2 linked regions of the Lytechinus pictus genome follow. The protein of the gene in region 2 binds, or shares a complex with, the protein of the main gene of each other region. Links are inferred from orthologs where the notes say so. Each region holds a gene or a part of one and is shown on either strand. Other genes may lie near its edges.

What was found.
Region 1: putative RNA-binding protein 15B (region 2) and N6-adenosine-methyltransferase non-catalytic subunit-like share a complex: the UniProt entries of both Drosophila melanogaster proteins name them as parts of the WMM complex. The link is inferred for Lytechinus pictus from reciprocal best matches to the Drosophila melanogaster genes nito and Mettl14.

Annotation. Positions count from the first base shown.
Region 1 is NC_087262.1:6,677,184-6,687,509, forward strand, and holds the start of N6-adenosine-methyltransferase non-catalytic subunit-like, read right to left. Parts: upstream 4,509-10,326; 5' UTR 4,430-4,508; coding exon 4,364-4,429; intron 1-4,363. UniProt on the Drosophila melanogaster protein: Non-catalytic component of the WMM complex, a complex that mediates N6-methyladenosine (m6A) methylation of mRNAs, a modification that plays a role in the efficiency of mRNA splicing and is required for sex determination.
Region 2 is NC_087247.1:53,156,625-53,167,257, forward strand, and holds the start of putative RNA-binding protein 15B, read right to left. Parts: upstream 5,044-10,633; 5' UTR 4,928-5,043; coding exon 2,552-4,927; 3' UTR 1,103-2,551; intron 91-1,102; 3' UTR 1-90. UniProt on the Drosophila melanogaster protein: RNA-binding protein that acts as an associated component of the WMM complex, a complex that mediates N6-methyladenosine (m6A) methylation of mRNAs. M6a modification plays a role in the efficiency of mRNA splicing and is required for sex determination.

The DNA of each region.
Region 1 (10,326 bases), on a different chromosome or scaffold from region 2:
AAAGGCGTCATACCTTAAACTAAAGTCAAGGTAAGCATGTTTGGAAATTGTACTTGTATGGTCTGGCATCTGACTGACGATGCATTCAGGTCAGATGACAAATACAGATCTAATAATACCGGTAATATTAGAATCATGCATTATTTCAAGCTGTACTAGTTGACTACGTAGGCCCTAAAGTCTTTTTTAAAAAGGTTTTTGCAGCAGGTTTTTTCTTCAGTCAGATTTCTAAATAAACTGGCCAGGCAATGGCTTGGTTATACTGAAAAATCTGCGGTTTCGTTTCAGAGGAATGTTTAATTAAGCTTTTTTTTCTACTCGGAATTAAGGATGTCATGATTCATGAAGCCAGACAAAATTTCAGCAGTGGTTACCCTGATTCCCTGATTAGTATACTACTACTAACCTCGCAATACGTGTGAGTGCCCTGATTCCTGACCGAAATTAGAGTCTGGTGTTTCTTTCAAAAATGAAGATAAATGCACTCTTTGTTAAGACCCGGAGAGCACGGCTCAAGTGATGTTCGTGTAGGCTCCACTTCACTACCGCTACACTACGCTACACCTATACCCGGGTAGCGTACATGTAATGTAGCGATAGTGAAGTGGAGTGGAGCCTACACGAACATCACTTGAGGTAGAGCACTGGTGCTCCGAGTAGAACTTTTCAGTCTAAACCCACTATTATTTATCGTCGACCAGGAATTACATGCCACTGCGCCGGCTTATTCCTGTATCAGATGATGATGACAATCTGTGCACCAAAACTAGAATATAAACTGATTAAAGTCAAACTAAAAATGTCTGGTAGGCTTCCTACTAGTGTACGTACATACTTCCTAAAATAGCCTGTAGTACATTTATTAACCAGTTTGTTCAAAAATATTGTGGCTGTTGAAGACAGTATTTCTTGTAGTCCTTAATCATCAATAAATAAAATTCATACTTTGATTATTTAGACTATTTCTTTTTTTCTCTCTCTCTCTCTCTTCTACATACAGATCTGCACACTTGCTGACTCTGGTCTCTGCTTACTACTTCAATCTGGGAGATTCTGATATGGACATGTAGCCATTTTTTCTTCACTCTGCTTTCCTGGAGCTACGGTTTGCAAGTTATGGACTGATAATAATCTTAATTGATCTTGGAAACAACAATTTAGAGCAGTTTTGGAGAGGACTATAACATTGAATTGTACAGGAATACAGCTTGTCAAAAATAGGAACACAATTTAAAACGAAAGAACAATTGTAATGTAACTAGGGCATTTTGTGAGAAATTTTCTACTCAATCACACGTCCCAAATCAAGGGTAAGTCCTTTGATTAAACACAAACATGTAGTTGAATTGCACGTGCAACTCGACCTTATTACACTTGAATTTGAATTTGAGACTAACGCTTTGAACATAAGTTTCTTGCAAAGCCCCAAAGTTATACTTTGTTAGCAACTCTGTATCAGTTATATACCATGCTGATTGCTGAAAGTTAAGTGTCGTGTATATATCGTCAGAATTTTTTTCTCGAAAGGTATAATATATTTGTCCTTTTAAATGATATTGGAATATGGGTATGCCTGTTATTGTTTTCCACAATATTCATTGCATGTATGAACAAAAGTGAAATATTTATTGTGAAGCACTGTGAATGTTGTTTGCAGTTGTGTGATGGTGCATCATGTTTGTTATAAGACTGTAAGCCTGGTGGATGTGATCGAGGAAGTGGCCTGGATGAAAGGAAAGTGAACATGTGTCCAATTACTGGTTTGCACATTTTAAGACAATTTTGTTTCTGGATAAATATTGCTATGTATTCCATGTGAAGAGTAAAGGAGAAGTCCACCCAACCAAAAATTCATTTGATTACAAAAAAAAAATATTCAGAAAATTTCATAAAAACTGATTCAAATTAAATAATAAAAAATAAAATGCTTAACAAAATTTGAAATGAATAAGATGTGACATAATCAACTCTAATGTGCATGTCATTGTTTTGTGTTTATAACTGTTTTGAGTAAAAAAACAAGGGAAATTACTCTATTCAAATAATTTTTACTTGATGTGGACTTGACATTTAACTCATCCTCTACCCCTCCCATCCCTGCCCAAATAAGTGCAGAATCTAATCAAGAACTTGAAAATCAAAAGCAGCAATTAAGTACGATTTAATAAATGCAGGTCTGAATAGAATCTCACATGAAAATAAAAAGAGAAAAAAAGAGCTGGGTAGGAATGGGGAAGGAATAAAATGATTTTACAAAAAATCCCCGAACAAAAAAATATCACGAGTTTCGAACCAGGGTCCTCGTACTCATCAAAATAACGTTTTACCGGTTTGGCCACAGACCGCTTCTTACTCGCACTGGGGCTTTTAAGGATATATGAAACAAAGTCCGTTCGCCACTGTTGCCTCATAATGCTTCGGCAATTCAACTGCAATTCCAATCATTTCGTGATGGATATTACCGTGTTTTTTGTGGTTCCTGACTTTGCTACGTAATGAAATTTCATAATTTTTGTTCAGGCGTGAAGAAGAATGTCTATGCTTTATATTGATTATAATATTAATGTGACGCAAGTGTGATTTCTAAGTGAAAATGTGCTTTGTTTATTCACATATATTTCTTGAAAAAAAAAATCATTTTTTCTAAGCTAAATATCGGTTACCAAAATACGTTAAATGTGCATTTTATTTCATTGTTCAGTAAATTCAAACTTTTATCTATATAACAAGACCAATCTTATGAGGAATAAACAATTCTAAGAGCAAAAAACGCTGATTGGAAAGGTCGTTTTCAATGGGCTGCTGTCAGCTCAGCTGCTCACCGCTCATTGTGTGACGTCACTCAGCTGGAGCTCGCAAGAGGACCGGTGGAAGGCAGAAATATGGCATGAAAATAAATCATTTTTGAGAGCCGATTTCTGCAAACTCTAATCACTATTTCAAAAAGTGAAGTTAGATATATGATAAGTAATCCTTCCCCTTTACAATGATGACCACAAAAATTAATTATAAAATAGTTTTGATTCTTCGGGTGTGTACTTTGATAGTAGAGGCGCATGGCCAATATGGGAGACTGTCACCATCATCATGATCTTGTTCTCTTTGTTATTAGCTTAGCTACGAGTAGACCAAAAGCTTCGGTCTCTGTTATGTTGGTTGTTCAGCTGAACTCCGTTGGCTTCACTCACCAAATACAGAGACCGAAGTTCTAGCGCGATCTGTACAGGGGACTCAATGGCCATATGTTTATGTGCATTAAGTTCGGATAAAACAGGGCAGTGAAGTTGCGCAACAGCCGAGGTAAGTCACTGTTTTTGTTCCTTTTAACTTGATTTTCCCCGTTTTTGGGGCAATTAATGCCAAGAGGGAATATTAATTTGCATTTCGGTTGGATTAATTTTCAAAAGTTTGATTCATTAAAGACAAAAATTGAAGAGCCCCGACATGGGGATTTTGCATTGTAAGTCCCCTAATGGTGGCTGCACGATAGCGAGCCGTCTGTGTACGAGGAGAAATTTAAAAAATAAAAAAATGTTAAAAAACTCCTCGAAACAGACGGCTGCCAGCTGTCTAAGCTACGAGACGCATATAGAGGGCGGCAACATCATGCCGTAAACATCGGTAAGTTTTCTCCCATCTTCTCATTATACATTTTTTGGTTTTTGAATGAATATTTGTTCAAAAATAAAATTGATAATGTATGATGGGGTGACCTAAAGCTACGCACCTTGTTTACAAATGATAAAAACTATGCCAATTTAAATATTTGGACAAATTATTTTTTGCTAATAATTTGTGGTTTATTAATTATATTCTAAAGTCTTTAACTTTTTAAGATCCTTACCCATGATGTTGCCGCCCTCTATATGCGTCTCGTAGCTAAGCTAATAACAAAGAGAACAAGATCATGATGATGGTGACAGTCTCCCATTATTGGCCATGCGCCTCTAGTCTCTGCTATTAAAAGTTTCACGAGACCTTAAGTAGGGCTCGACATTGCCATTGGCCACTCACACGTACCGGTATTGCGAGGTTAGTATTACTATTACTACCTCGCACCACGAACCTCGTTTGGCAGTGGATTTCTAACTAGTGGGTCGCGCGTGCTGGGATCTCACTTCTTGGGTCCACAACACACGACTTCTATGGCTTGATTTTTCTGTGCGCGGCGGCATGTAATGAACCCTTGGCCTGGGTGGACATTGGCTGCATTTCGGCGACGAGCGACGTAGACAACGGCTTGAATTTGCATTGCCCCACGCGTAAAGATCCGTGTTTCCTTTTTCTGTAACTTGTATTAAGTTAGAATGTTGTGTGTAAATTGACGTGGTAACACCGACTATATAAACAAATTTAGACTCACCTGCTGGGCAAGGATTTTTCTCCGCTGGGAGGACCGCGCTCTTATTGACTTCAGCCTTTCAGACATTCTCACTTTTAAAAGGAGTTTTGTATCGAGGAAAAAAACTTAGTTTGACGCTGGATGTTCCTTAGGATGGTGTCGCTGAGACACCAATATAGCAACAACAAAAAAGAAAAAAAAAGACAAGTCTTAGGATTGTTTGCAGTTTGGTTCTTGCCGTGCATGGTTTCTTAATTTCCTCTTATATTTCTACTTTCCAATTTCCACTCTAATTTTCCTTATATTTTCTTATTTATTTCTGACCGCCTTTTATTTCCTTTCCCGCTTGTCTTCTTCGTTCACTCACCAGTGGCGTAACAGGCGGGGGGGGGGGGGGGCAAGCTGCCCCCTCTGGCGGATTTCACCGGGAAAATAACAAAATGGGAAAAAGAAAAAAAAAAGAGAAAGAGAGAAGGGGAAAGAAAGAAAGAAAGAAATGAAGAAAAGAGGAAAAAGGAAAAGGGGAAGGCACAGGGGGCATTTGCCCCCAGTGAGTTGCACCCCCCCCCCCGAATTTTGAAAAAAAAATGTATAGTAAATGTTGTCATAAGCATCCTACTAAAGCTGCTAAGTGCTCCAAAACAGCTTTTTCGTTCTTTAGATTTGGAAAAATCTTCATAATTTTCATAAATGAAAAATGTTCAGCTCGCGCTACGCGCTCGCATCAATTTTATTGTTGGATTAAATAGCCATCCAGCCCATGATTGCAAAAAGTGCTTAGAACGTCCAGTTATCATCTCAGGATGTCAAAAATTTTCAGCTCGAGCTTCGCGCGCTCGCATTATTTATTTGGTGAGATATCATCTTCATGATTGACCCAATGCAAACAGCTAGTCCTTAACAGGTCCCTTTTCAAGTCAGTAGGGTCTACATAAAAAAAAATCAGCTCGTGCTTCTCGCTCGATTTTGAGAAATAGGCAAACCATTTGTGTGTTGCCCCCCCAAAAAATGCTATTTTGCCCCCCTCCCCCGGTTAACAATCCTGGTGCCGCCATTGCCCCGGACCCGATCCGCATATCACTGGCCCCCAAAAGCTCTACAACCGAGAACCAAAAAAAAAAGAAAAGATGAAAAAAAAGGAAAGGAAGATGTAAAATATATATTTTTTTAATACCATGTCAAAATCAATCTCAAAATTAGATTCTTATGAAAAGGTGACTTTTTTTCTCGCTCGCTTCGCTCGGTAATAAACAGTTCTGGAAATATATCAAAACCAGGCGCAAAGACAACGTAGGGATCCAGAGCCTTAAGAAGGGAAACGAAATCATCACTGATGACCAAGGGAAAGCAGACGCACTGGCCGAACAGTTCCAGAGCGTCTTCTCAAGAGACGAAACCCAAATCCCCAACCTTCCAACAAGAATATAACATCCCTGATATGCCAGATATCAACATCACGGTTAGTGGCATCATCAAGCTATTGAACAAGTTAGATGTCTCAAACCCGGGGGGGGGGGGGCACTCGACCAAAAAAGTGGTAGGGGTGTGCCGCGGGCGAGACAAAAAACGGGGGCCTTGGAGCGGGCTAATTGTAAAAAGGAGGGTCCTCGGAACGGGCTTCGGAACTACAAATGTTTGTGAAAACGGGGGTCCTTGGAACGGATCGCCAGCGTGTGATGAGTGCGCATGCATCCCTATGGAACGGGCATGCGTGCATGATACAGCTAGCGCGGCCTCCGCCGGGTGCGCTCGCGCAGAAGCGGCGATGGTCGGACAGCGCTCTGCGGCCGCTTTTCACCAAAATTGCAGCTCCTTGTAGCAGATCAATGCGACCGGAACGGCGTAACGAAAAATATGCGAAGCTTTGGAGCGGATTTCTCTATTCTTTTTTCTCGATAAGAAGAAAATGCTATGCTTTGGAGCGGCTTTCTTTGTTCTTTTTCTCAATAAGACAAAAATGCTATGCCTTGGAACGGAAATTTGAGTGTAAAAATGGGGGTCCCCTCCGCGGCACATACCCACTATGCATTATATATTGAGTGCCCCCCCCCCCCGGGGTCTCAAAGGCCGCAGGACCAGATAGCATACCAAACCGTGTTCTTAAACTTACAGCTGAAGAAATAGCCCCAGTCCTGCAATTCATATTTAAACAGTCATATGACCAAGGGATCCTTCCTGAGGATTGGCGTAAAGCGAACATCGCTGCTATTTACAAGAAGGGTCCTAAAAATGAACCAGCTAATTATCGCCCTATATCGTTGACCAGTGTATGCTGCAAACTTATGGAACATATAGTTGACAGCCATCTAATGACACACCTTACTACAAACTCAATCCTTTCTGACTACCAGCATGCTTTCAGACGGGGTAGATCATGTGACACATTATTAGTTGCCACAATCCATGATCTTGCTACTCATCACAACAACAAGGAGACATGTGACATCGCAATACTCGACTTCAGCAAAGCATTCGATGTCGTCCCCCACAAGAAATTGTTGCAGAAACTTCACTTGTATGGCATCCGTAGCAAGACCCTTGAGTGGATAAGATCCTTCCTGACCCAGAGATATCAAAGAACAGTAGTGAATGGTAAAACATCAAACTGGTTACCAGTCCTAAGCGGTATTCCACAGGGAACAGTCCTCGGGCCCCACCTCTTCATTTTGTACATAAACCATCTCTCAGAAGCAGTTCACAGCACGGCAAGACTGTTCGCAGATGACTGCATACTCTACCGAGCAATATCCAACCCCTCCGATGAGGATCTCCAGAAAGCGAGTACCAGGACATACCAATTACTCACTCCTTGGTCAACAACTTCAGGAAGTAAATAGCCATCAATACCTAGGAATACATAATTATAGAAAACAACCTAAAATGGGATAAGCAGTCACAACAGGCATCCGCCAAAGGTACGAGGGCTTTAAACTTCATCAGAAGGAACTTCTATCACTGCTCTAAAACAGTGAAAGAACGTCTATACCACACACTTGTTAGACCCCACCTGGAATATGCTTCGATAGCATGGCACCCAGGCACAATCAAGAACACCAAATTGCTGGAAATGGTTCAGAGACGAGCCGCCCGATTCGTCACAGGGAACTACACACGGGGATCCAGCGTTACAAACATAATGACAACACTTGGCTGGATGTCTCTCGAAGAAAGGAGGCGAAATCACCGAATCATCAACTTATATAAGATCATCCATGGAGAAACTCAACTTGACTTAAATAAATATGCCACAAGAAAAATAACAAGATTAAGAAGATCCCATGATGAACTGTATGACGTCTGAACAGACGTCACTTCAAAGTTCATCACAACTACCCAACTGGCTAATTACTTCTTCCCTGAAGCAATCTCCCACTGGAATAGTCTCACATCCGATACGGTATCCTCCAACAGCACTGATATACTTAAAGTAAAACTAAACATGCAAATCATGCAACAAAACAAAACAGAGTAACAGTACTCCCACTCTCGTCAGCCCTGAGTTACCCTTCCTGGTGGAGGACTTCAGGGAATAGAACTGCAAGGTACAAGGTACAAGCTCGGGACTTATATTAAGCAATTTTTTGCTGCGTGCGCCATACTGTGCCTCCCTTTTTTTGTACTTGTCACGCAATGAGCTTAGCTCTATGGCAATGCTCGGGGCCACAATCATAAAAAAATCTTGTTCATACCATGATGTGGTATGGAGATATATATATTACCCTGTTGTGCTAAAACATCCCGTTTTCAAGTCAGTATACACTAAATATATTTCCTCGCCGAGATATTATCGTTTTATGTAGTGACATATGCTTCTTTTTCAAGACTTGCTTGCCTCCTTTTAAGGTCTGATTATAAAACATTTCCAGACAGTGCTTACCTTCGCATTATGTGGATTGGTGAGATATGTCTAACCTTCATGAATTCCTAAAATCCGTCCTTAAAATGTCCCCTTTTCTGATCGGAATATCAACAATTTTCAGCTCGTGCTTCGCGCTCGCATCATTTGGTTAGTGAATTCCTATACAAACAAGCCTTAGGATGCCCCTCTTCAGATCTGAATTCAGCTCGCGCTCGCAATATTTGTTTGGTGAGACGCGTATGAATAGGTGCTTCATGATTGTGTTTAGATGTAATTCTAACAAAATCAGCAAACGCTTTGAACTCGCATCAGATGAATATGGTGAGATATATACTCTTAATGGAGTCCCCCCCCCCAAAAAAAAAGTCCTTAAAATGTCCCTGTTTGGGGACAATATTATACAAATATTTCAGTTCGCGCTTCGCGCTTGCATTGTTTGTTTAGTAAGACACGTACGTATTATGTTTACAAAAATTTGCTTATAATGTCCCTTTTTAGGTCTAAATATAAAATAATACTAAATAGGTTCATTATTGCGGAATGAAATAATCGCTAGATGGTATTCATTTGTCTCGCAATCTACTATGGTCAACAAGGATAAAGAGTTGCAGCGGCACTCGAAAGCTAAAGAACACTTTTTGCGAGAGTGATCACGAATTTCCTTGTTGACCATAGTAGATTGCGAGACAAATGAATACCATCTAGCGAATATAAAAATTGTACAGTTTTTAATTTCATTATCTTCTCAATGCAATGACACTTTCCATTTTAAGTTGACAGGTTTCTATATTATAGGCCCTAGTGAACCTTTTCCCCCCATTCTTCCCTTCCTTTGTTTCATTATCATTAATTCATTCTCCTTTACTTCTTCTTCTCCTTTTTTTTCCGCCTCTTCTTTTAAGTTCTTCACTTTCTCCACTTTTCACACTTTTGGGCGCCACTTATGACAAAAGGGTGCACTTTGGTCCCCTAAGTCCTCCTACAACTATATGTGGAGGTGTCGTGGCCTAGTGTTCTAAGGCACCCGACTACACACCATGGAGGTCCGGGTTCGATTCCCGGCACGGCGCTTAAAGGTCAGGTCCACTTCAGAAAAAAATGTTTATTTAAATCAATAGAGAACAAGGCAAACGCCAAGCGTTGTCTCGCCTGCATATTGCAGTCATGAAGAGACTGCATGTCAAAACTACATGTATGCTATATGACTTAGATGGACCTCTGTTACGAGTTTGGCGATCCCACCTCGAAGCTATAGAAAGTTATTGTGTGTACAACACAGCAGTGCCAGTCATGGAAAGTTCATTGACCTTTGACCTTAATCAAATTCAACTCACATTTGAACTTGACCTGCACCTTCAAAAGATGGACCTCTTGTATGAATTTGGCAATCCTAACTCGAAGATATAGAAAGTTATTGTGTGTACAGCACAGCACAGTGCCAGTCATGGAAAGTTCATTGACCTTTGACCTTAATCAAATTCGGCTCACATTTGAACTTGGCCTGCACCTTCAAGAGATGGACCTCTTGAATGAATTTGGCAATCTCACCTCGAAGCTATAGAAAGTTATTGTGTGTACAACACAGCACAGTGCCAGTCATGGAAAGTTCATTGACCTTTGACCTTATTCAAATTCGACTCATATTAAAACTTGACCTGTACCTTCAAGAGATGGACGTCTGTTATGAATTTGGCGATCTCACCTCGAAGCTATAGAAAGTTATTGTGTGTACAACACAGCACAGTGCCAGTCATGGAAAGTTCATTGACCTTTGACCTTTGACCTTATTCCAATTCGACTCATATTCGAACTTGACCTGTGCCTTCAGGAGATAGACCTCTGGTATGAATTTGGTGATCCCACCTTGAAGATATAGAAAGTTATTATGTGTACAACACAGCACAGTGCCAGTCATGGAAAGTTCATTGACCTTTGACCTTATTCCAATTCGACTCATATTCAAACTTGACCTGTGCCTTCAGGAGATGGACCTCTGGTATGAATTTGGTGATCCCACCTCGAAGATATAGAAAGTTATTATGTGTACAACACAGCACAGTGCCAGTCATGGAAAGTTCATTGACCTTTGACCTTTGACCTTATTCAAATTCGACTGATATTCGAA
Region 2 (10,633 bases):
TTTTTCACGAAAAAACACAGCTTTGTTCAGTTGAAGCACTCCTTATAGCAAATAGCAAACATGATTGTTGGCACACATTTGAGGTTTCTCCTAATAAGGTGGGATGAACAACAAAAATAACAAATTTGCACTCACATGTGATGATCACTATCAAACAAGTTGCAGTTAAAAAGCACATGATCTCCAGCACCTCAATAAATCAAAATATAAATAAAACACTGAAGAACAAATGGTAGGCACTAGGCAGTGATCCAATGGCACCACTCAGGGCACACACAAAATTGATGGTATCTCCAAAAACATTTTTCGCATGCTTCAAAGACATAAGTAAATGCTGTATAACACAAATGGTTTGTCAACTTTGATGTTCCAGTGAGAAATCAGTAACACAATCAACAAAAAATGATTTTTTTTCAATTTGACTCCAAGATTTTCTCTCATAGAACACAAACAATTAAAGCACATATTTCCAGATGATCTCTAAGTTAAGTGGTCATAAACGTGTACAGGATGCTGCAATTCATTTTAATTAAAATCAAATTTGGGCCATTTGTCAAAGGGAATGTTAATATTTCAACCATTCCCATCTGTAACTTCACTTCAAAGTATCAAAATAAAAAAATTTCAAAAGAATTTCGCTAATGTAAATGCACAAGTGATCTCCAAACTTCATAGAAGCTAAACTGCTCATAATTATGCACTTTAAAACCACTTTAAACAATGTAAAGCTGCGACAAACCATGAGATTCACATAACGTCACTTCTCCAAAGTAGTGTAGAACCACAAAATACAATTTCTTCATAGAAGATACAAAGGGTTTTCATATGGTTCCACTCCCATTGGAAGTATATCAAGTAAATCACATCACTGTAATAAACACAATGTATCTACATGTACATCTTGTAGCTGAAAGACTTGAGTGTTACTTCACAAAGCAACAGGGTTTTTTTTTCTCCTTGAAGGCATTTCAGGATCAAAACAAATTTACTCAAATCACAGAAGCATCCTTCCACTTGAACGCGCAGCTGAATTAATCATGTGTCATAATCGCTGTTACTCACATTACATTAAAAAAGATGCAATTTTGCTAAAATATCTTACCTTCAAAATTCAGCTTCTCAATCATCAGTGGAGATTGGAATTGTTGTCATGGCTGCAAATTTGAAGCTTTATTCTCAGTATGAGGATAGAGGAGTGGTGGATCAGGAACATTTTCAGAGAAGGGATGTGACAGATTTGTAACTGAACTGAGCCCATAAGATAAATTGTTCAAGATATTTTAAGGTGCATTTGACAGGTAGCTAATGGAAATGGGGAGCGTGCATTTGGGAGGGCAATCATTGCAGAATTCCATTTCACCAGTTGCTACAACTTGAAGACATTCCCATTCAACAACTGATCCGGTCATGATGGCCTTGCTACAAAATGAGATGCAAGCTTGTCCATTTTATGAACTGAAAGAGCGCCCATCGATGGCCATTGCAAACCAAGTATTTTGTGTGTTGCTTATCTTTAGAGTGCCAGTTATGCAACAAACAGTAAGAAGTTCTTTCATGAAGAAAAAGTATGCCCAACTCGCATACATGTACTACATTTAGTGTATCCCAAAAAATAATTATGCTGAGAGTAAAAGAGTAAATTACATTGTCATGCATTTAAAATTCAAATTGCGATAATTTAATTAATAGAAAAAAAACTCATTGAATATACATGTTGTCTCATATACGCTGTCTTGATGAAAAGGATATACTGTACAGGGGACTATGAAATATTCCATTTACAATTTCATGAATTTCAGTAGAAATGAACATTACATATTTGATCACAAACTGCAATGGTTATGGTCATCAAATTTTTGTTTTTCACATGTAACTCTAGGATAAAAAATCCCATAGGATCTTAGTTTCACTTTTACTCTATAACAGCCAATGCGAAAAGAGCTGAATAGGCAGATTTCTTTTATTCTGGCTGAGTGTAAAGTCAAGTTCAGGGTAAATATTCAGTATTGTCAAAAATCACTGACCGGATCTGTATTTCTTTTAAGCTAGAAATCATATTAGCAATGATAATGTAACACAGAAATATTATTCAACAAAATAGAAATAGGCTTAAAAAGTTCAAATAACAGTACTGAAAATAAAGTATTATTGAAAAATGATTTTGAATTCACAAAGTAGAATACGTTTTTGATTTCTGTCCTGCCATTTAGGCCATGTTTAGGGGTTGACTCATCGGGATGCAAATATCAGTACAAAGTTACTTCAACATAATAAACAACTTGTTATAATCTACTTCCTAATACTTCATCAATCACACATTTTAAAACAATTGCATAAGATATTTCATCACTAATTACAAAATATACACAATTTTGCCAAGCATTCTTATCTGAAATATGACAAATACAAGTGTGCATGTACATGCATGAAAAGATTCCCAATTGAATGTTAAGAAGTTTTATTTTTTTATTCATTTCTAATTCTATAACTTTACACACTACATACCAAGGCAAATTATTTAGTTAAATTACTCTAAAAACATATTAAAAACCTATGCTGCCCCCTTCACAATGATCACAACAAGATGATCCTCTTTGCAAGGATCTGGGCCTAAACCAGGAGCAATATCAAGAAGGTACTTGTGACTGAATTCACATGGTGGAAAGGCATGAAGGACACCAACGTTATCCTTATTTTGCTCTCCACTAACTGGTAGGCTGATAACTCCAGCAGCTTTCTTCTGCTGAAGGTAAGTAACCAAGTTCACCAAGGCACGTGCCTGGGTTCCAGATGGTAAAGAGTCTGAATCTTCACTTGTTCCAGCGAAAGAAAGCAAAATTGCATGACCACTAGATCCAGCTTGCGAGATTCTTTTGCCCACTTCATCAAGCTTAGGTTGATCTAAACGTAAGCGCTGTGTGATCCTCAAGGCAGACTCATCACTTCCTAAGTCATGTGGCAGCAGAGCTTCAGCAGTGTCTGCATCTCCTCCTACCAAAAACATGCGAGTAGCAAATGCACTGTTCTTCAACACCAAATGACCTCTCCAAGACATTGGTAAGTAATTTAGAAGATCAGACAAGTTATCTAAACTATCTGGAATTCTGGAGCGCCTACTACCTCGCTTTCGACGACGTTCCATGGGTTGACTACCAAAATCCTGGTCAGAAAGATCACTACTTATGGATCGTTGACGGCGTACACGGCCATCTGGTGAAGCATCCCAATCACGCCCATGTGAAGAATCTCTAGGTTTCCTTCGCTCAGGAGACCAATCACCACCAGGGGACCTACGGCGCTTAGATGCTTTCACATTGCTTGGTGACCAGTCATCCCTACCAGCGAAATCATCAGGGGATCCATTTCGCCTTCTACGATTATCACCTCGTTGCATCATTCTTCCTGATTGGTCATTGTCCCTTCGGTTCCAGTTATCATTTTTGTATCGACTACCAGACTGCCAGTTCCCACGACCTCCATCAAAACCTCCTCCCCCTCCTTGCCACTGATCAGATCCATCACGAAATGATGGAGGTGAAATATCTCGACCAATATCTCTGTCTTGATTGTAACGATTGTAGCCTCTGCCACCTGAGCCATCATCATGGTTGGGTGGTCCTTGGTATGGTCTAAACTGCTTTTTAGTTGTCTGGATGCCAGGCCCATGTTCAGCAAAGTCTACCCGAAGTCGTTTGTCTGGTCCTCCTAAAGGAACACCACGCATGTGGCTGGCAGCTGCCTGGGCTGCTTCTACAGTTTCATACTGGACGTACGCAAATGAATCACCTTTAATATAATCAATCTTTCTAATTGCTCCAAAGCGATCAAACTCTCTTTCCAGCACACCCAATGTGATCCAAGGCCCCAAACCTCCAACCCATAGACAATTTGTTGGAGACTGTTTTCCATATCCTGTCTTGCACTGATTCCTCCCAATGTACTGGCCAGACATAGAGATTATTGCCTTATAAGCCATATCCAAATTTTCAAATTTCACAAAAGCAAAAGGATTTCCCTGGCCTCGAGGTGGATACTTGATGTCAATTTCTTCAACAAAGCCATATCTCTCAAAATGCCTTCTTATCTCACTTTCTTGGATACCATCTTCCAAGTTACCACAAAACACTGTACGTGTAGCCTTTGGGTCATCCTCAGGCAAAAATGTTGCATCACGGTCTCTATCACGACCTTGATTTTGGTGATACCCATCATTTCCATAGTTACGGGAATTTGATTCATATCGATTAAAATCTCTATCTCTTCCTCTGCCGCCACCACCACTACTGCCCATATCCTGCCTGTAATTCTTTCCTTGCATTCCACCACGTCTCCCTTGAAAATCATTTTGTCTATTATTCATGTAACCACCATCATGCCCTTGCCCCTGATTATGATTTGTTTTATTTACAATTGCTACAATGTGTAACGGTCTTGCAAACAATGTAAGACGATCACCACGAGCTTGCATTGCATCTCTAGCCTGATCTGGTAGTCTAAATCTCACATAAGCAATCCGCTCATTTTTTGCTTGACTGAACACAACACGCACATTTACTTCACCATATTTCTTAAATTCATGAAAAAGAGCATCTCTAATTGCTGTATCAGAAACATGAGAAGGGAAATTTGTGATTCTTAAACAATCTGGTTCTTTCCTCTGAAAGCCATCACTTTGGAAGTTTTGAGGACGATCATAATTCTGCGGGCGATCATAGTCATCGCGGGGTGGTGGACGCCTATCGCCGCCGGTCCCACGCCTGCCACCGTCATCTCTCTCCATGCTCCTCATTCGCCCTCCCATTTTTGCACCTCCCCTACCATCATACCTGTCACTCCCAGGGCTCATTCTATCTCGATCTGGCATTCGCTGCATTTCAGGACTATCCCTCACCCTCCTCATAGGTTTTCTACCCTGCTGACGATCCATTTGCAGTAAATTTCACAGCAATTCAGAAAGTTAAACTCCTTCCTGTTTCATGCTTTATCAACTACACTGAGCAAATATGGCCGCTTATTCTGCGTTGCATCCGGGTATGTGCGCATAGTCTTATCACCAGACAATGTACACTGTAAAAAAAAATTCTGAATCGGTAATTAACACTTAATATATTTAAGTAGAATATACAATTTGTAATTATTTTTCGTTTTTAAGTAGTTAAGTAGTTTTAACTTGTCTTTTAATTTACTTGATTTATTTGGGTTCAATATACATTTAAGAAAATTCACGTATTGATAGCTTGCTTTGATTGAGTAAATCTAACTCAATTAGGCAAAGATGAGTACTACTTATAAAATCAAGTTGAATGTACTTATATTTTTCAATTAACGCCATATTTTAATAATGCATGAATATTCATTAGAGCAAGTAAATGTTGTTGTTTTTTGTTAATAATTGTCATATCTATTTGTGTCTGAAATTGTTTTGGATAAGGGTGTGCTAACTAATTTAATCTTTTGTTGAATCAAAGAAAGAGCAACATTAAAAGTCATTTAGCAGAAAATTTCAGATTCTTTTTAGGTTTTCGATGCTTATATTATTCTCACTGTTTTATTTGTAAGAATGAAACGATCACATATAATTTCAAAAGATGTACGAACCCAAACACGAAGGGTAAATATGATTTACTATCAGTTTCCATTGAAAACGATTTTTAAAAAATGCCTTTCGCCAGCCATCGCAAGGCATATTTCAGGCAATTCGGTTAGGGGTGAGGGGGCCTTTAGACGAATCCAAACGTAGTCATACGATGTGTGAGAGAGGAGAAAATAAGTAAAACGGATTGGTGAAAGTTTGCAAGGAATCTTACAAGTAATAAGACAGTTATAGTTGTTTTGAAATTAAGATCCCCAAGAAATTTAAAATTGACAACTTGGTTAGTAAATGTTGACAATAATTTTCCATATTCATCAATTCAAATAATTATAACTTACCTCATTTACTTTACCATTTCATGCCTACTCAACTTATTTTCCCTTTTCAGCATTTAAGTTCTGCTCTAATCTTACTTTCTTTATTTCTTTTCATTTTTGTTTTTAAATCCTTCGTGTTTGTTTCCCTTTTCTTTTCTTTTTCTTTTCTTCCCCTGTTCTTCGTTTTTTGTTCTTGTGCTGTTTTATGTTTTGTTACCTCTCTGTCTGTCTTTGTAGACAATTCTACAATAATTATTTAGAGGGGTCCACACACTACAAGCATTTAGTTTGCTTTTGTTGCTTAGTGGATCCCTCCATTTTCTCAGATCTTTATAATGTTTATAATAATTGTTTTTATATAATACTTTGTTTTACTTATGGTAAAATATCGCATATTGTACATATACCTCAATGTAAATTGTTTGTATAAGTTTCATTTGCAAATGTCATTGTAATAATTTATGACCATTTTATTTCTGTTGAAAATCGAATAAAACCAAATTTGAAAAAAGGGAAAAATCGGGGATTTGTGGTTTACAAAATTACTGAAACTTCCGTCCATAGGAACATTCCCTCCCTAAAATAGTATTCTAAAAAAGCACTTCGAGCTGCCAACCCGGGGAGAATATTCTTTGAATGAAAATAATCCTGCCCCCCCCCCCCATTAGCAGAAGACGCCTGCAGTGTAGAGAACCTGTGTAGTTACTCGCATATCAACTTTATGATTAGTCGGCAGACCTTTATACTTTATACTGTTTTAAAGTATTCTTTTATTGCTTCTTCCAGTGAATACAAACACAAACTGATAAATTTCATAACTTCATAAATGATACATCATAATAGCTTCAGCTCCATCAAAGAACCAGTAAATAAGTAAAATTCATAAACATAAATTCACAAATTAATCCATTCATTTTCCAATTCACTTGAAGAAATTAAGAAGTATAAGACAGAAAAAAAAGAATAATAAACACTCCCGCACATCCCACACACAAAAATAATAAATCCTTGTCCTTCAGGTCCCCTCCTTCCCCACCCGCCCTCCCCCGGCCGCTAAAATCTATACCCCCCCCTTACGAAATCCTGGATCTGCCCCTGCCCTATATAGATACTGACCTTCGCATGTATGCATGCACGTTATCGATTATCTTGTTTCCTTCCTAATGTAATTTTGAAACGTCCTTCGTTTGATTGTTTTAACCAATTAGTGCGCCTATAACCTATTTCTCACCTTTCCAATATTTAAAAAATACAGCAACCCCCCCCCCCCACCCCCGGTGGACCGGAGAGGGGATAATATATCACCTCATTATCAGAGTGTGTTGCGAATGATACATGTAATTCTGGCATAACAAAGGATATACATATATAGATATATGCATATTGTCCTCAATAGTTGGTTTGGATTTTGGAGGGCTCAACAATTGAATGTAACAAAGCAGAAGAAAACGCAATTACCCCATGGAAGGGGGGGGCTCTCAATTAAGATGTACATGTACTTATGTGTTATCTGACTCCATTATTTTTCCATCGTAGAACACCCCAGGATCTTATTCACGAATGTACCAGACGTTAAAATTAAAGCACAACATGCAGCCTACAGTTTGAATTTTAAGAAAGGAAATTAGATAGTGTAAAATAATGTGCATTTCTTTCTTGTTTATTCTGTATGGCGTATATACGGCCTTCAAAATATTCTCTGTTTCTTTTATTTTATTTCCTTCGTCACTACTTTCTTCCGTTATTCCCAAATCTTCCCACCACCCAATAAAACTTAGCAAGTTAATCTATAAGGGTAGTATACCCAGAAAAATGTTATGGTATAGACCAATAAAAACTCGCACATAATATATAAATCTTTAATTTGCCATACATACAGTTTTTGAAGAAAATTTTAATTCCTTTTTATCAGGATTCTTACCAAAGTCTATGCGGGGGAAACTTTTGCAGCCAAACACAACAAAAAAGCAGCTCTCCTTTTTATAAAATATCTTTTTAATGAATCAAGATTGATCAATACAATTTGGCAGGAGTGCTTCATTTGCTAACTTGTGCCAAGAAATCTAATTGTCAAATCAAACATGAGTGAGCATGCATTATCGATCAAATTATTACTTTTTCAAAAATAACAGGGGTAATTTCTAATGCCAAAATTGAACATTTAAACAATAAAATATTTGATTATCTTACATCATGGTTGTAACCTTATCATGTTCATATGAAAATATAAACTATTTTGAAAATGATTTATTCATTTATTTAGTAATTTATTTGTCAATTTATTTACTTTCTTCATTTAAAATGCAAAATTTCAGAAAAGTTGGACATTATTTATTAACACACTTACTCATCTATCCACCTCTTACCCCCCCCTCTCTCTCTCTCTCTCACACACACACATATCACAATTTCCCCCTCTCTCTCTAAATATTTTATTTTCTCTACCGCACCCCTCCCTTTCTCAATTACTCATTCTCTTTCTTCCAGATCAGCTCCCCAGAAAATGGTCTTCTCCGTCTACCACATCTATTGTATGATAGCCTTTTGACAAGGCTCCACGGACATAAATGTGTTTTCACCATTGCACAACAATAAAAAAAAATAAAAGAGTTTTCTGCGGAAAATGTTCTCAAAAGAAGTAGATGAAATTAATCTGATTGTGTGGTTGGGTATTTATGAACTATACGGTTTTTGATAAAGATATCATGAAACACGGAGGGTAAAGGACCAGAATTCTAGGCATAAATTCACCAAGTTGAACTAAAAATAGATTTTTAAGATGTTATGTTCGAAGAATAGTGAGTCATTATGGGCGCATATATATGTGCCTTGCAAGAGAACTCTCTTTTGTAGTAATTAAATCCTTTCAACGAATGTTTGGTGTGAGCTGCCCCAAGCAAGAAGGCTGAAGTTCAAATATGGTAAAATAAGGGATGAGTAGAGCATGAATACAAAAGTGATTGTGGTTGATGTGATTTAAGTTTGTTGATTATACCGATAATGCGAGAGATTATTTTACAGATATTTTGAAGGTGTAATTTCCAGAAAAGTTTATTGTCTACTGAAACACAGATAAAATAAGTATGAGATACTTGTTTTAAAGGGGGTATTGTCAAAAATAATATCAGTGGGTAATAGGGAGTTACTAAACAAAAATATAATTCGTCTTCAGAAGATTAAGTGATATTAGCCCTTATCCGCTGTAATATGTTCCGTAACTGCATTAACAACATTAAAAAGAACATTGGGATAATTGTATAAAAAAATAAATTAGTATCATCTGCAAATGAAATGAATGACAAAAATTAAGTAGACCTATCATAATGGTAATCGTTTACATAAAGAACAGTGGCGGATCCAGAATCACAGGGGGCGCCCCCCCCCCCCTAATATAAAATCTAAATCGGCGCCGGACAAGAATAATCAGCGCCATTTGGTTATAAATCAGCGCCTGGTTCCAATAAATAGGCGCCGTTAGAATAATGAAGAAGGGCCTATTGCCAACCAAATCTAGATCGGCGCCGGTCAAGAATGATCAGCGGCACCTGGTTATACATTTATTGTTGAATGTTCATAACGAATAACAAAGCTTATCGCATGCCCTTACAGAGTGGACTGGGGAGGGGCAGTTGCCCACAGATGTCATGAAATCTTTAATTTGTTATTTAAAAAATCCCAGAATCATACAAAAGTGTAGAGCAAATCCTTTAATTTTGATCTTATATTCCAATGCTTTAATAAAAAAAAGGTCAGTCACTTTTCTTCTTTACACATTCCACATTGTGCCACCTCTATGGCCTTTAGTGTAAGACAGCTACTATCATGACTATAGTGTTTTATGAAGATGATTCGATATTTTAGTCCAAAACTTTGCTAAAACCCGTTGCTAATACCGGGAGTGTATAATTACGCAACCAGACGTATATTCGTTAGACCTTAAACCACTAAATATCATTTTCAATGTATAAATACAGTTTGTCAATGCCTTTGTTTTAACGTTTAAATGTTTACGCCACAAAATTTGATCTATTTTCATCTTCCATTAAGTTAAATATTATTCATCTGATCGCTCAGGAAGAAGTTAAACAAAAAATAAAGATACCTGTAGAACTGGAGAACTATTTCCAAAGCTCTGTCTTGAAGGATCTCTTTCTGAATTCAGGTCATAAGCATTATATCCAGTTTCATCAAAGCAATTAGATAAAAATTACTCATCATTACAAATTGCATTATATTTAGTGAAAAGCATCACAATATATATATATAAATACCAAATCTGTATATAGGCCTATACATCATGTACATGAAAATTGAATGATAATATATAAACCTGGATTGGTGATGTATTCCAAATGATTCATGATGTAGTATCATTGTAAATACAGAGGCGTCGGTCCTGGGGGGGGGGGGGCAGGGGGGCGATCGCCCCACCAATGAAAATATTGGGGGGGGAACATATCGTTTTGCCCCCCCCCCCCATGATTCCGCATGTGCAAAAATAAAATAAGATAGTAATGTTACACATAAATCAGCAAGCGAGATTGAGCTACACAACCCATTCTTTATCTAAAATCATGCTCAAATTGTCCGCTTTTCAGATTGGAATATAAAAATTTTCAGCTCGAGCTTCGCGCTCGCATCATTTCTGTAGCAAAACCCCATACTTTTCATGATTAAATAGGTGAATAGAATGTCCCGTTTTCAGTTCTAAACCTCAAAAGAA